2 linked regions of the Stegostoma tigrinum genome follow. The protein of the gene in region 2 purifies or fractionates together with the protein of the main gene of each other region. This does not show direct contact. Links are inferred from orthologs where the notes say so. Each region holds a gene or a part of one and is shown on either strand. Other genes may lie near its edges.

The links. Proteins that work in one complex are often made in the same cells at the same time.
Region 1: the proteins of ilf2 (region 2) and igf2bp3 purify together in Homo sapiens (affinity purification with mass spectrometry; 3 studies listed by BioGRID and IntAct, counting the BioPlex papers as one, with this or other methods). This does not show direct contact. The link is inferred for Stegostoma tigrinum from reciprocal best matches to the Homo sapiens genes ILF2 and IGF2BP3.

Annotation. Positions count from the first base shown.
Region 1 is NC_081355.1:76,370,584-76,378,338, reverse strand, and holds the start of igf2bp3 (insulin-like growth factor 2 mRNA-binding protein 3), read left to right. Parts: upstream 1-4,357; 5' UTR 4,358-4,676; intron 4,677-4,682; exon of another isoform or gene 4,683-5,021; 5' UTR 5,022-5,031; coding exon 5,032-5,206; intron 5,207-6,219; coding exon 6,220-6,280; intron 6,281-7,755. UniProt on the Homo sapiens protein: RNA-binding factor that may recruit target transcripts to cytoplasmic protein-RNA complexes (mRNPs). This transcript 'caging' into mRNPs allows mRNA transport and transient storage.
Region 2 is NC_081400.1:1,950,129-1,957,518, reverse strand, and holds the start of ilf2 (interleukin enhancer-binding factor 2 homolog), read left to right. Parts: upstream 1-4,195; 5' UTR 4,196-4,273; intron 4,274-4,368; 5' UTR 4,369-4,411; intron 4,412-7,390. UniProt on the Homo sapiens protein: Chromatin-interacting protein that forms a stable heterodimer with interleukin enhancer-binding factor 3/ILF3 and plays a role in several biological processes including transcription, innate immunity or cell growth.

The sequences.
Region 1 (7,755 bases), on a different chromosome or scaffold from region 2:
TGAAAAGTTGTTTTAAAATTTAAAATCCGTTTTCCTTCACCACGCCAACATAAACAGGATTTCCTTCCTGCACCCCATAAGATTTTTATGATGGAGAGGCACAATGCGTAAAGGTTTATTTTCCTTTTATGTTCGCGAACCAGACTTTTCAGAATTTTGTAATTATTATTAATAAAGCAGATATATTCAGTTTTAGGATTGGACAATATGCAATATCTCAAAGCATCTATTCAATTTTACAAAAGAACTGAACTTCTGGCTAATGGCATAATTTCACTGTTTTGGGTTTAACATTTTATCACAAATTCTAAAAATGATGTCAAAATGCATATTAAAACATTTCATAGCATCAGGATCACTTACAACTTATTCCTTATTCAAAGACTATTGAAAGACTTCATATATTGTGAATAGCTTTGGATCGTAATATTTTCATATTTTGAATCATTAAAGGCAGTGGTTTCATATCCTGCTTTTAAGCATTAATGTACAGTTTGATGCAAAATGCTACAGGTAGATAAGTTCAGAGTCATACAGCAAGGAAACAGACACTTTGGTCCAACTAGTCCACACCGAACATGTTTCCAACCTAAACTACTTACAACTACTGCATTTGGCTCACATCCCTGCAAACCTTTCCTATTCATGTACCCTTGTAACTGAACCTGCAACTACCACTTTCTCTGGAAATTCATTCATACAATATCCACTGTGGAAAAAAAAATGTTGACCCTCACGTTCTTTTTAAATCTTTCTCCTATCTTAAAAATGCCCCCTAGTTTTAAATTCCACCAGCCTAGAGAAAAGACCCTTGTTATTCTCCTTATCTATGCCCCCTCATGATTTTATAAATCCCACTAAGGTTACCCCTCAAACCTTCAAAGATCCAGTAAAAGCCTCAGTCTTCCCACTCTATTTTTATATCTCAAATCCTCCATTCCCGGCAACATCCTGGTAAATCTTTGTTGAAACCTCTCCAGTTTAATAATATCCTTCCTATAGCAGGGCCACCAGGACTGAACACAGTACTACAGAAGAGGCCTCACCAACGTTCTGTGTAACCTCAACATGACGTCCCAACTCCTATACTCAAAGATCCGAGCAATGAAGACAATTGATTATTCAGACTTTAACGTTCATTTTGATTTCAAAGCTCATACAGCTCAGAGAACATTTAAGCTGTCTTTCTCTTAAAAATGTATTAGAAGCTTGCATAATCTGGTTTATAGTGAACAATTAAATAATTCAACAATTCTGTAACCAATTAGCAAAAAAGTAAACTTAACTAGATAACAATATAATTCTTGATTAAAAAGATATGGTAAGAAAAGTAAAAGTCCCATTAGACAATGAAAGAATTATCAATTTTAGATAATGTTGATAATATTGTTTTGGACTAAATGCAAATCCTAATTTGAAGACTCCAATATATAAAGACATGATCCTCTGTTAATTTCATGCAGTTGTTTTAGTTCTAATTCTTGAAAACAAAACAATCTAATTTGAAGCTGTTTAGACTTAAAACTAGTTCATGTAGTTAACAATGTACTAGTCACATTGTGTTTACATGCCCAGACAATAATTTAGAAATGTTATTTCACAACTTTAGTTGCATTCTAACTGTTTTATGTTTTGACAGAAAAAAAGGAGGCACAAAGGAAATGGAAAGAACATAATCTGATTTTTATTTTTGTGAAGAATATTCCAAGTAACTTTTAAATTACTTTTCCATCAGATTCTTTGGAAACATTGCCTAATGTTATGAATTTTGTTTGAAATATTTCAATAAGCTACAATTATTTGCTTTGTCTAAATATAGGTTACATTTTTCAATAGTATTGAAAACAAATATCACAGTATACAATGCTTTAAAATGACAAAATTAATTTACTTTTGTACTGAATTTATGACGAAGTTACACTTTAATATATATTAATCTATTAAATCCATTGTCAAAATTACCTTGGCTATAATAAATTTGTGCAATATTTTAAAATCACATTATTTGCAAATATTTTGATCAGGTTTAAGCTTCACTGTTATTTATCCTTGTAGAGCGATGGTTTTACTCAACAATAAATAATTTCAAAGTAGTTAAGGAATTGCATTTGTATTGTTAATCGTGACTACAATATCTACACAAAGAATGAAATGTGCAACGTGCAGAACAAAGTGAGATTTGCTCTCACAAAAAGTAAGTTGATCAATTCAACATGTTTTTAATACATATTTAGAAGATAAAGAACAAAAACCAATACCCTATAAGCTTTTCAAAAGCGTTGAAATGGTTATAGAGGTGGCATTGCTTTATATTTTCTTAAATCTATGCGGCTCTCTGTAGAACCACTGATGTTTTAATTTGAAAACAAAACTTCAAATGTGTTTATTCAAAGTACTTTACCATTTTTAATGTATGTTTTCATGTTAAAACATTAAATATTAAAACAGTACAACATATAGGAATTTAAGATAATTGAAAAGTCAACATAAAGACTTTTTACTGAAACATCGAGTTGTTATTTGACATTTTGTTTGAAGATGGAAACTTATAATAACATAGTGCACTTTAACTGGTAATAAGAATTTAGTTTGACATCAGTTTTTCATAATTTCAAAATGAACAACATTGACACCTCTGGTATTTGAAATTGATTTAAGTAGAGGTGGATGATTATGGGGAATGCAGACGAAGCTTTAAGGAACAGTAGAAAGTGTGAACTTTGTGGTAGAACAAAGATTTGAAGCATATCACAACTATAATAGAACATATTAACTTAGTTTTTCTCTTCTGCCACAAAATAAGTTCCAAAGTGTCAGATCTTGGATATAATAATCTGTTCATAATGTATTATTTCTTTAACAACAATTTTTGGGAGTTTTTTTAAACAATGAAGCTCTTATAAAGCCCTACGTTCTATTTGCCCCTCCCCCAGTTTGAATTTTCATTTAAAGTGAAGCTTTGGTTATTGAATTGACCATTTAAACATGGTAATCAAATTAAATGGATATTTTAATCTTTCAGTAAGCTGGTAAAAGATATATGAAACAATTTATTTACTTACACCACACAGTAATTTCCCCCAATGAGTCCAAATGGGACGGCACACCACACGATTAAAAATTAATACTCAACCGAATCACCAAATTAACATTTTCTTTTTCCTTGGCTAGTCCGATTATCAATCGCACTAAACACGCAGCAAATACAATTTTAAAAGTATTTTGTAAATCAATTACATCAATAAATACGGCATATATTTGACTTCAATCCACATACTTCAATTTCCCGAAGATTGCTATAACGTTCCAGGAATTATAATCGGCAAACGGAACATGAAATCGGAACAAAAGATTTTGAAGCAGTTAACGTAAACGAAATAGCACGATTAACTTCAGTTTTGAATTTATGAAAACGTGCTAAGCGCTCGTACGCTACCTATCATCTAGTCCATTAAAGTGGACAGCTAGAGTCATGAGGAATGATCGCAAGGTACAACTTCATTCACTAACGATTATTTTATTTTTATAACGAAATTACCCCCTCGTGCCGGGCGGGGAAATTATTAGATGCGTCCGTAAAGAGCGAAGTGGCTTTGCACAATTTTTAAATCGACAATACCGAACTTCACACATACGCGATTGCCAACAAAGGAGACGGGTTTGAATCTCGGATGTAGATTTTCGTTCGTTCTGAACACTTCCGCCAATAAAGTTGTGCAATGTGAATTTAGTTAGCTATTTTTCCAAAAAACGAAAACGTTCTTTTTTTAAGAAGAACTGCGCCAACGACAGCTCAGCACGAGTTATTTTAAAAAATAATTCTGATACGCTTTTATTTTTTTTAACAAAACTTGCCTGTGGGCACACATTTAAACAAACGACCTTTGAAAATAAATCAAAGACCTGGAGTTCCAATATTTTATAGAGGTAACGTCGCCTCGTGTGAACAATAGTGGAGTTGCCGAATAGCGTAAGAAAACGTCGAAACTGCTACAACTTTCAAAAGATCACTTTCGACCAACATTTCAATGAGATAATGTAATTACCCATTCAGTGGATCCCATCAACCAACCAAAATCTGGGGGTAAAAACGTCGTTTAATAATAAAAGAACAACGTCTCCAATAATAAAGGAGCAGCCATTGCAACGTATCGGTTTTGGCACGACCCGATTAGACATCTCCTGAACACGGTATCGTTACCACATTATTCAGCTTTAAACAGGGAGGGGACGCAAAAGATGGGCAGATCACAGCGAAAATGCACTCCCTCCCCCGCCTCGCCTCACACAACCAGCCCCAACCCCCACCGATCAACCAGACCAATAACTCGCATAACCATCACCACATTGGGGAACTGCAACAGTCAGGAGAATTTTCGCGCCATCGCCCTTGTAAATGGCAGCCTGATCTAAGCCAATGAATGAAATTTGCAGGCAGAGAGGGAGAGAGAGCAAAAAAAACTTGGTCAATGGTAGCGAGGCTGGAGACGCTTGATAGGATCCTAGAGTCAAGCTGTGTGCGAATGAGAAGACGGAAAATGGGAAGAGGGAAAAAAATGGAGAGCGCTCCAAACTACTATTATTCCACAATCAATATGTTTCTCGGATTCTTGGAGTACAGCTCGTCCCTCCCTCCGTTTCTCTCCCAGTATCATTGAATAGCTGGCATTCCTCACGTGAGAAGTTGATATTAGTTTGACCACGTGGCTCATTCAGCCGGAATATTCGGGGATTTTTTGGAGCTGCATTTTATTCAGAGGCGGTGCTAGTAGTAACGTAGTGTGACATTTTCACAGCCTGTTTGCGAAAGGGGTTTTGGGGGAAAGACAAAAAAATAGTTTTTTTCTCTCTCCGAAGCCCGCCATTCTAGACTGCTAATACTACTTCTGGGGATTTATTTTATCATCGCGTGTATTTTTTTTGTAAGGACTCTTCTCGCTCCCATCTTTATATTTAAATCGACCGATTATTTCTCCAAAGGGAAGATAAGGACGGAAGGATCTTTGTCTTTTTTTTTGCAGTTTTAGCAACATGAACAAGCTGTACATTGGGAATCTCACCGAAAACGTAACCACTGTGGACTTGGAAAGTCTTTTCAAGGAATGGAAGATTCCCTTCACTGGACAGTTTCTGGTGAAATCTGGTTATGCATTTGTCGATTGCCCAGATGATAACTGTGCTATGAAGGCGATAGATACTCTGTCAGGTAAGCGAGTTAATCCCTTGTAGTCTAATATTACCTCAAGTTTTGAAACAAACAGTCGTGAACCTTGTTTGGTGGGAGGCCTAAGGCAGCTCCTTGCGCACCAGTTTCGCACAAATCGACTGGGGGCGCGGGCGAGACGAAGCTGCTTACACCCGTGTGTTTTGCAAATATCCACTCCTCGTATCTACACCTAAACTGGATTTTCTTGTGACGTTCGCACAGAAATTGGGTTTCTTTTTAACCTAATCTAAATAACATTTGGAACCCCCACCCGTTATTCCTCTGCATCTGCACGCGGTCTTTTCTTTCCCCCATTGAATTGTTACACTTCAAGCGTTCAGTGGATTGACAGTAACTATACGGGGATGCATTCTGTACAGGATTCTTTAATTTGTCAACTCTTTATTGATCTTGTGTAATTGGGCTGGGGTCGGAGAATTCGGCCCGTGTTGTTGTACCTTCTTGGTGAGAGTAGGCCTTTAATAACTCCAGCGGCAGCTCGGAGCCATCATTCAAATCAGTGCGCACCGGGAAAGGAATACGCACTTCAAATCTTATACTTCTGACAGAAATAAAGACAAATGAAAGCTCACTATCCGAAAACTATTGACAATATCAATTTTTTTTTCATTCGTTCCGTCCCCCAGCGCGAACGCATTTGTAGTCGGCCATACTGAGTCCCAAAAGTGTCCTTTAGCACTCGACCACTAGAAAAATGGCTGAGAATTAGAGCACAGCAATTGAGTTCACGTTTTCTTAAAAAAAAATTTCAAATTGTACTTGTTCATATCAGTTTTGTGACTACAGTTGACCGACTCCTTTACGTTCTACGCCGAACTTTCTTGTCGACACTGTTCCGAGATTTGTAACATAGTTGCCCAGCAAGTTGTTGTTCAACTGCAAACCTAACGCTTAAGATCAACAGAAGATAATTAAAAATAATCTTGGCTGAACGGTCGATTTTAAACGTTTTCAAGTGCTTAATACGCATTGTATTTTGTGCTTTGCTTCAGGTAAAGTTGAGCTGCATGGGAAATCTATAGAAGTGGAGCACTCCGTTCCTAAACGACAAAGGTAAAAGAAACTTTAATTCGTATCAGATTTCTTTCCGATCAGAGAGAATTAGACTACAACTGACTAATTAGCGATTATATCTGTTTGGAATTCAAGGTTATCTTAAACCCTACGAGTCTCTGGGATCCGTCTACTTAAGTTAGAAACTAATTACCGTTTGAATCTCGGATACTTTTTTTAAATGTCCCTTTGTACTTTTGTTTTGGTTTCTAGTTGAATTCTTTTATTTCTTTTATATATCACTGGAGTATTTGATCAAAAATATTTTATTTGAGAAGACACCAGAACACACTTCTAGTTTTAAAACGAGACCTGGTGCAGTGTTTTTTGAGAAGTTTGGGCGTCAGCAGGAAATGATCTGAGATGCTTTGCATCATGCTAATCGACAAACACGTGAGGAGCTCTCAATTTAAGAGCCAACAAAACGAAAATCACAATTCAATGTTTCCTCTATTGTCCACGAAATGTAAGAGATCATTTGATAGGGAAGGGAATTAATTCTTGTGTATTTGTTGCTTCACGTGAACCCTAATGTGCAATCGATTGTTCATCGATCTTAAAACTGTGCATTAAGATTATTCAAAAATGTTGTTACCAAAATATATAATTGATATTGTATGGAGTGTTGAGGTTAAACATCAATATTTCACTCTAAGGCTAATTTGACAGTTCTAAAACAGGATTTAATAGCTTTAGAAAGCAATGCCAACTGTTGGCTTTTTAAAATAAAGATCACTATTGGTTTGAACGTTCCATATGGATTGATAGAAGTTGAATTGTTTGTCACAGGATGCTTTTGTAATACAAAAATTACTAGGTTAGTTTTTGACCTATTTCCTCACCTGGCTGGCTTCAAGTTTCTCAGTAGAAAAAACAAACTTTTGAGGACCAGACTTAAAATGAGATTTGATTTCATTCACTCTTCAAAAGATGCCTCCATTCTTTGTGCTTCAGCTTTTGGTTTAATGTAACTTTACAGATTTACATGGAGTGTCATGAGGTTACGTCTGAAGGTTGTTGAAAATGCTACATTTGTGTGTGAGAGAGAGAAATGCTTGAATGGGCAAAATTTGGCATGGGAGTTACTTTACATTGCTTCCTGTGTGATTCTTCTCTTCACCTTTTCTTCCATTTGTTTGGCCTCAAACTGTACAACTTTTATTCCATATTCCCTGTAGTTCATTAGTACAGGATGTCTAAATTATTAATCTTCAGTCCTCTTTCTTTGCAAACCAGGCAGGAATTTTAAATATTAAATGTTCAGAAGGATTTAAGATTTGAATCTAAAAGCTAAATTGTAACTTTTGAACCATGGCATTTAAAGCTGGATATGCTATGATTTGAATTTATAAATTGCTGAATTTTTTTTAAAGAACTCAAAAGTTTTCTCAGTAAAAGGTTTACCATGTTTTTAACCAATTTCTAGAAAGAATGAAAAATATAAACCATGCAAACTATTTTACTCATCATTTTGC
Region 2 (7,390 bases):
AGGCAAAGTTTCAATCCAGTGATCTTTCTTCAGAATCACTTTGCAGAAAGGTCATTGGGCCCAAATCATTGACTCTTTCTGTCCACGGATGCTGCTAGACCTGCTGAGTTTCGCCAGCACTTTCTGTTTTTGTTTCAGATTTACAGCATCCACAGTTTTTATGTTTTGTCTTTCACACTGGACTTCTTGGGCTGAATGGCCTACTTCTGCTACTGTGTCTTCTCTTCAAACCGGGCTGATGGGGGTTAGCTACAGATCAGCCATTGATCTAATAATGGAGAGATAGAGTTGTTAATTTGGTGCAAATCTTACGGAAGTAAAATTCTGCAGATGTTGGAAATCTTAAACAAATACAAAGAGTAGCAGAGTTGCCCTGGGCTCACAATGGTAACTGTGTTCCTCATTGCACAAATGCTGCCAGACCTGCTGACTTTCTCCACCGTTCCCTGTGTTTGTTACAGATTTTCAGCATCTGCAATGTTGCTATTATTTTAACATTTACACCTGTTTTACTCTGATTCCCCTTTACCTCATTGTCACTGCCTTTGTCTTTGGTCTGCATCACTTTTTCCATCTATTCCACTTGCTTTGTTTACAGCATAAAGCCATCATTTTCCAGCTCCTTTCAGTTTTGAAGAATAGCTGACCTGGACTCTGAAATGTTAACTGTGTTTCTATCTCCACAGCGGCTGCCAGACTTGATGAGATTCTACAGCATTGTGTTTGTTTCAGATTCACAGCATTTTGCTTTTCTAAAACTGACAAAGTCCTCTCTCTCTTTCATCTCTTAAAATTAATTAATGCCCTCTTGCTCACCCTGTTATTTGTCTTTTTCTGCTCGGAGAGCCGTGGTGGAGTTGTCACTGTGTGATAAGTATGGGCACCACATGGCTTTCGCATTGCCTCCCCTCTGGAATTCAGACTGCTTTGTCCACGTTTGGACATGTTTCGGAGATGGGGACCCTGTCAGAACTCAAACCTAACAGCAGTTATTGTCGAGTAAGTTAGTGCAGGTTGACAGCATTGTCGAAGACCTATTTTGGTGGTCCATCTTTGATGGCTGTGCTTTCATCTGCTTTGCTCCAAGCTCTGGAATTTGCTTTCCTTAAACCTCCCTGGTCTTCTCCCTTTAACACTGTTCTTAACACCTGTCTTTCCTATTGTGTCACCTACTTCCTTGGGAGCCTTGGCTTCTAATCTTGTCACAATCTCTCACTATGAAGCACTGTGGATTTTATCAAAAATTAAAACTGCTATGTCAACAATGTTGTTGTAAAGGTGCAGTGTAATAGTAGATGAGCTGTTAGATGACCTTGCTGAAGTCAAATAGTCGTTCTTTCAGCATCGTATTCTCTCAAACATTCAGAAATGTCAACGGCAAATTAAGTTACTTGACAGGCATGTGAATGTACCAAGGTTGTTGTTAATTTCCATGATTGGGGAAATGTTATAAAACAGCAGCTCTGTGAATTGTATACCTAATCATCTGGACTGTTGAGGCAGTGCAGCCTTGTTAATGAAGATCTCATTCTCAGTTAAGCACAATTCCAGGTAGCAAACCTTTTTGACTTCTGTTTTAAATGTAACCCCCTGGAATAAGTCACCTTGGCTTTTGGCGTTACTTCTATTTTGCTTTGAATTTAGTACTTGCCTTTAGCCTTTTGAGAGTTTGGTGCGTTACAGCAAAAACAGCATTGACATTTGCAATTGTCTACATTACCCAGTTGTAACTGATATCAACACTCTAATCAATGCAGGTGTAGAGAAAATGTGCAAAATTACAAAGGTCATGGTACTCACAGGAACATGTCTAGGTTCTCCATATTGGCCCTGAGGGATGGATGCTTGTGGTATAAGCACCAGTGATTAAAAATCTGCATTTTTGGGGCATTAATACATCTTACAGTAGATTTAATTGGATTAATAGAGATCAAATCATCCAATGGCAATGGATACCTATTGAATATAAATTTCCAGATTATAATCTGGATAAAGATGAGAAATTTCATTATAAGGAGGGTTAATTGTGTGTTGAATGCCCTACCAAAATATGGGTGTAAGCAGCTTTTTTGAAGGGAAGTTGTGTTATAATACAGATGGGCATGAGCTGGCACAGGCAGGCTGAATGTTGTGTCTGTGCTGTCACATTGAATAATTCTGAGATCCCCAAAGCAGGACGCTGTTGCAGAAAATTTTCGACATGAATGCGCAAAATTCCTATCTCAAAACCACATTTGAATGTGGCATTGATGATGCCCACGGTTAATTCTAGTGAAGACAGTGTATGTTGTACCCACAACCTGCCGCAAGGTTGGCAGTTTTCACTGTGTCAGGAGCAAGGCACAAAGCTGGAACACAAACACACACTCTGGTTACATTGCAAGAATTTAACCTGTTCTGAGAACTCCTTCCTCATTCCTCCAGAGTTTTGCTTCTCAGCCTTTCCCATTTAGTATCGGCTGTGATGAAGTGAGCAGAACTGTTGCCTTGAGGTCAGAACGTTGTGGGTTCAAATTCCACTTCAACACTTGTAAGTCCCTGTGCAACACTGAGGGGTGCTACGCTGTCGGAGGTACTGTCTGTGGATGAGACATCAAAAACAAGGGCCGATCAACCCCCTCATGTTGATATTGAAGATTCTCTGTCATTACTTTGACGAAGAGCAGGGAAATTATCCTGGTGTCCACACTGTCAACCTTGCACAAGCAGCTTGTTATCGCATAGCTAATTGTAGGAGTACATTTGACTTAAATTGAATGCCATATTTTAATAATGCACTTCATTTCAAACATACTTCATGGCTATAAAATACTACGGAGTGTTTGGCATTCATGAAAGGTGCTAGCCTTTTCCTTTTGGCTTTCTGGCAATGTGTCCTATTGATTTCCCCCCCCACACTGCTCTTGTATTGACCTGGAGTTTTCAGGATGGGACTCTGCACTTTTTTGTACACAGTGACTGCAGGCAGACCATTTACAGTCTGAACGCACGACACCATGGAGCAAATACTATGCACAGACAGCTCCCCTTCATGTTTAAAAAAAAACTGACTTTGAGAGCCAGTGAATTTCACCCTGGAAACTACAGATTAAGCTCACCTATTGGACATAGAATGCTAGGACGATGCAGGGACCTGGAGGGATAATGTTTTCACACAGAAGGTGGTGTATTTATGGAACCCAGGTGCCCAAGGAAGTGGTGGAGGCTGTACAATTACAACATTTAAAAGGCCATCCGCATGGGTATGCAAGTAGGAAAGGTTTAGAGGGATATGGGCTGTCTTTTTCTCTAAGGTGGGGGATTTCAAGACTGGGGGGATATATTTAAGGTGACATGAGAAAGATTTAAAACACGTGAGAGGCAATTTTTTTTGGCTCTGTTTACACTAGTTCATATGTGGAATGAACTTGCACAGAAAGAGGTGGATGTGTGTACAGCTGCGACATTGAAATGACATTTGGATGAGTACATGAGTAGAATATGATGGGAGGGATATGGGCCAAGCACAGACAGGTGGAGCTAGTTTAGTTTGGGATTATGGTCAGCATGGATTAGTTGGACCAAAGGGTCTGTGTCTGTGTTCTATGACTGTGAAAGTAGGACTAGACAACTCGCAACTGGAACGTTCCAAGGAAATGTTTCTCAATGACATCCAATTAGACCCCCATTTAGGGAGGTTTGGAGGGGCTGGGGGAATGATTGGGACTCACCATCTATGGAACAATGACGAGTGAATGTAGGATAGTGTGAATGAAAATATAGGTGCAGAAGGTAAGTAGATGTTGATGTTTTGAGGGAAATTGAATGTTAACTGACATTATTTAAGCAGCAGAACAAAATAGTTGTCGGGGATTAATGTAATGACTTCAGCGTATGTAAACAAGATGGTTCGTGAGCTTAGACTGGCCACTTTTCCCAACATTTCCTTTGGGGACTTTAAGATTCTGTCCCTGTTATTGCTGTCTTCTAGATTTGATGCCAGCATCATTTTTGATCTGTGCTCTTTTTGTTTTCGTTACTTGTGACTGATTTTAAAAAGTTGCTTTTGAATCCAGGACTTGGCTTGTTTGGTATTTTTGGCCACATCCAGGATTCAGGAGCTTGGACACACTACGCCACAGACCACCTTAATGCTGTTTCCTTGGGGTTGCATGTTTTCCCCACCTACGGAGCTTGTATCTGTTTTAACTGCGCATTCATATGCTTTCTATTGCAGAGGCGACAGAGGACGTGGCCGTGGACGTTTTGGTGCAAGGGGTGGCCCAGTTGGGGGGTACGTGTCACGAGACAGTCGTTTGCTAAAGATTTTTTCTGTTACAATCCAGATTTTATTAATTTGAAACTTTTATTTCTCTCCAACGTAAACAGGTTCAGACCATTCGTTCCTCACATCCCATTCGACTTCTATGTGGTAGGTGACAGTATCTTTTCTCAACACGTCACAGAGCACTGTGCAGCCGATGAGACAATTTTGACACCCAGTCATTGTTATATGTTAGCTAATTGTACACATTAAGCTGTATGGTAATGACTGGGTAAACTACAACAGGGAGTTGCTGGAGTGAATATTGACCTAGATGCCAGAGCCTGCCTTTGAGTGGTTACAATGGGCTCCTTTACCTCCACCTGAGAGTGGAGATGCCAGTGTTCGACTTGGGTAGACATAGTCAGAGATCACATGACACCAAGTAAGAGCCCCAACAGGAGATAGCAAGAACTGCAGGTGCTAGAGTCACAGTCCGAACAGGTTTATTTGAATCACAAGTTTCAAAACACTGCTCCTTCGTCAGTTGAAGTGGAAGGACCTGTACCGGCACAGAATTTATATGCAGAGAGATAATGGCAAGATAATTACAGGTAACTAAGAATGGTCATCCCCTCACTTGCTAGTCTGCTGTTGTCACTTCACTTACACCATTTAACACTTTTTTGATCACCTGCATAGAAATGTTATTCTGCTTGTCAATACTCTACTCACACACTATTGGGGAGCACTGTTGTGGGGAAATGTTAGCCCACTCAAGGACAGTGGAGTGAGTGTGTGTGTCTGTGTGTGTGTCTGTGTGTGTCCAGAAGAGGTCGGTGGAGAGGTCTTAAAAGATAACTCTGTACCAGTATTTGTGAAAGAGAAGTAATTGGAACAGGGGTGATCTCAGGGAACAGAGAGTCGCATTACTAAACCAAGTTGCTATTAAAAAAGAAGTGGTGATGTGTGTCTTAAAAAGTATTAAGATAGATAAGTCCTCTGGTCCTGGTGGGATCTATCACAGAATATTGAGGGAGGGAAGAAAGCCCGTCGCTGGACCACTGACAGGCATCTTTCTATCCTCTTTGGTGACAGGTGAGGTCCCAGAGGACTGGAGAATAACCATTGTTTAAAAAGCGTATTGGGGATAATCCAGGAAATTACAGGCCTCTAAGCCTCATGGTGGTAGGGAAATTAGTGCAATAGATTCTCAGGGTCAAGATCTATAAGCATTTAGAAGCAAATGGACTGACTAACACTCAACAGCATGGTTTTATGCAGGAGAGGCCGTGCCTCAATAACTGATTTGAATTTTTTGAGGAGGTGATGGAAATGATTGAGGGAAAAGTGGCTGAGGTTGTCTACATGGACTTCAGTAAAGCCTCTAACAAGGTCCCTCGTAGCAGACTGGTACAAAAGATGAAGTCACATGTTATTGAGGTGAGCTGGCAACATGGATACAGATCTGACTTAATGATTGGAGACAGGGTAGCAGTGGAAGAATGCTTTTCAGAAGGGAAGGTTGTGACTGGTGATGTTCCACAGGGATCACTGCTGGGACCTCTGCTTGCGATCTACATCAATGATTTGAAGGAAAACATAGCTGGTCTAATTAGTAAGTTTGCAGATTATAACAAAGATCGGTGGAATTGAGAATAGTGAGGAGGATTGTCAGAGGATACAGCAGGTTATAGATCATTCGGAGGTACGGGCAGAAAAATAGCAAATGCGTGTTTAATCCGGACAAATGCATTTTGGAAGGTCAAGTACAGGAACTTATACAGTGAATGGCAGAACCCTTAGGAGTATTGACATGCAGAGGGATCTTGCTGTGCAGATCCACAGATCACTAAGTGGCTGTGTACGTAGAAAGGTGGTTTAAAAAAGGCCTACAGCAGCGTGCTTGCTTTCTTTGGAAGGGGCGTTGACTACAAGGATAGTCAAGTTATGCTGCGGCTTTAGAGAAGTTTAGTTAGGCCATACCTAGAATATTGCTGACAATTCTGGTCCCCTCACTGCCAGAAAGATGTGGATGCTTTGGAAAGGAAATAGAAAAGGTTTGCTAGGATGTAGCCTGGAATGGGAATTTTAGCTATAAAGAAAGGTTGGATAGACTGGGCTTGTTTTCACTAGAATGCAGGAGGGCAGCTAGAAAGAAGTTCATAACATTGTGCATGGCCTAGATAGTGTGAAAAGAATGCGGTCTTTTCCCAGGGTGAAGGGGTCAATTACTAGAGATACAGATTCAAGGTACCATGGGGGTGTTCAAAAGAGATGTGTGAAAAATGTGCCTTGCACAAAAGTAGCATTCACGAATCACTTGAATGAATACAAGCATAGGAAGGGAATAGAGGGATATGGATCCTGTAAGTGAAGACCGTTCTAGTGTGGAACGGCAAAATGTGCTGGCGCAGGCTTGGAGGGCTGAAGGACCTGTTCCTGTGCTGGATTGTTCTTTGTTCTGTTGTACTTATCTTTTGATACTCTTAATTACCTTGAATTATCTTGTTGTTATATCTCCACGCATAAATTCTGTCCCAGTGCGCTTCCCTTCATGTCACCTGATGAAGGGGCTACACGCTGAAAGCTTGTGATTTCAAATAAACCTCTTGCACCATAACCTGGTGACAAGTAACTTCTGACTTTGTCCATCTGAAAGGGCAGGTGGGACCTTATTTTTACATTTCCCTTAAAGCTAGCGCCTCTGACACCACAGCCCTCCTTCAACTACCACACTGATTTGTTGGCCTGTATTTTGTCCTGATGTTCCTGGGCTGTGAACCCATGGCCTTTTGACTTGGGGGACAGTGCTCTGCGCTAATCCATGGCCGATGTACAGTGCTTGTTAAAGCTGGCACAGTGCATTGGCACCACCTGGGCTCCTCTGGTTATTCTGTTACATTCAAATGTCTGCCTGCTTCATTGGGCAATATGTAGGGTCCACTTGACCTCCATGAAAAGGAAAGTTGGGTTGTGTGTGTACTGTTGTTAGAGCAAGCATTTGGAGCTTTATATCTGCTCTGTAAATTCCACGAATTTGGTGCTTTGTAGCCTGACTTCCATTTGATGTTAAAGCTTGAGCGCATTGTTGAGACGAACACTCCACTGATGCCCGTTAGGCCAGACATTAAACCAAGGCACCTA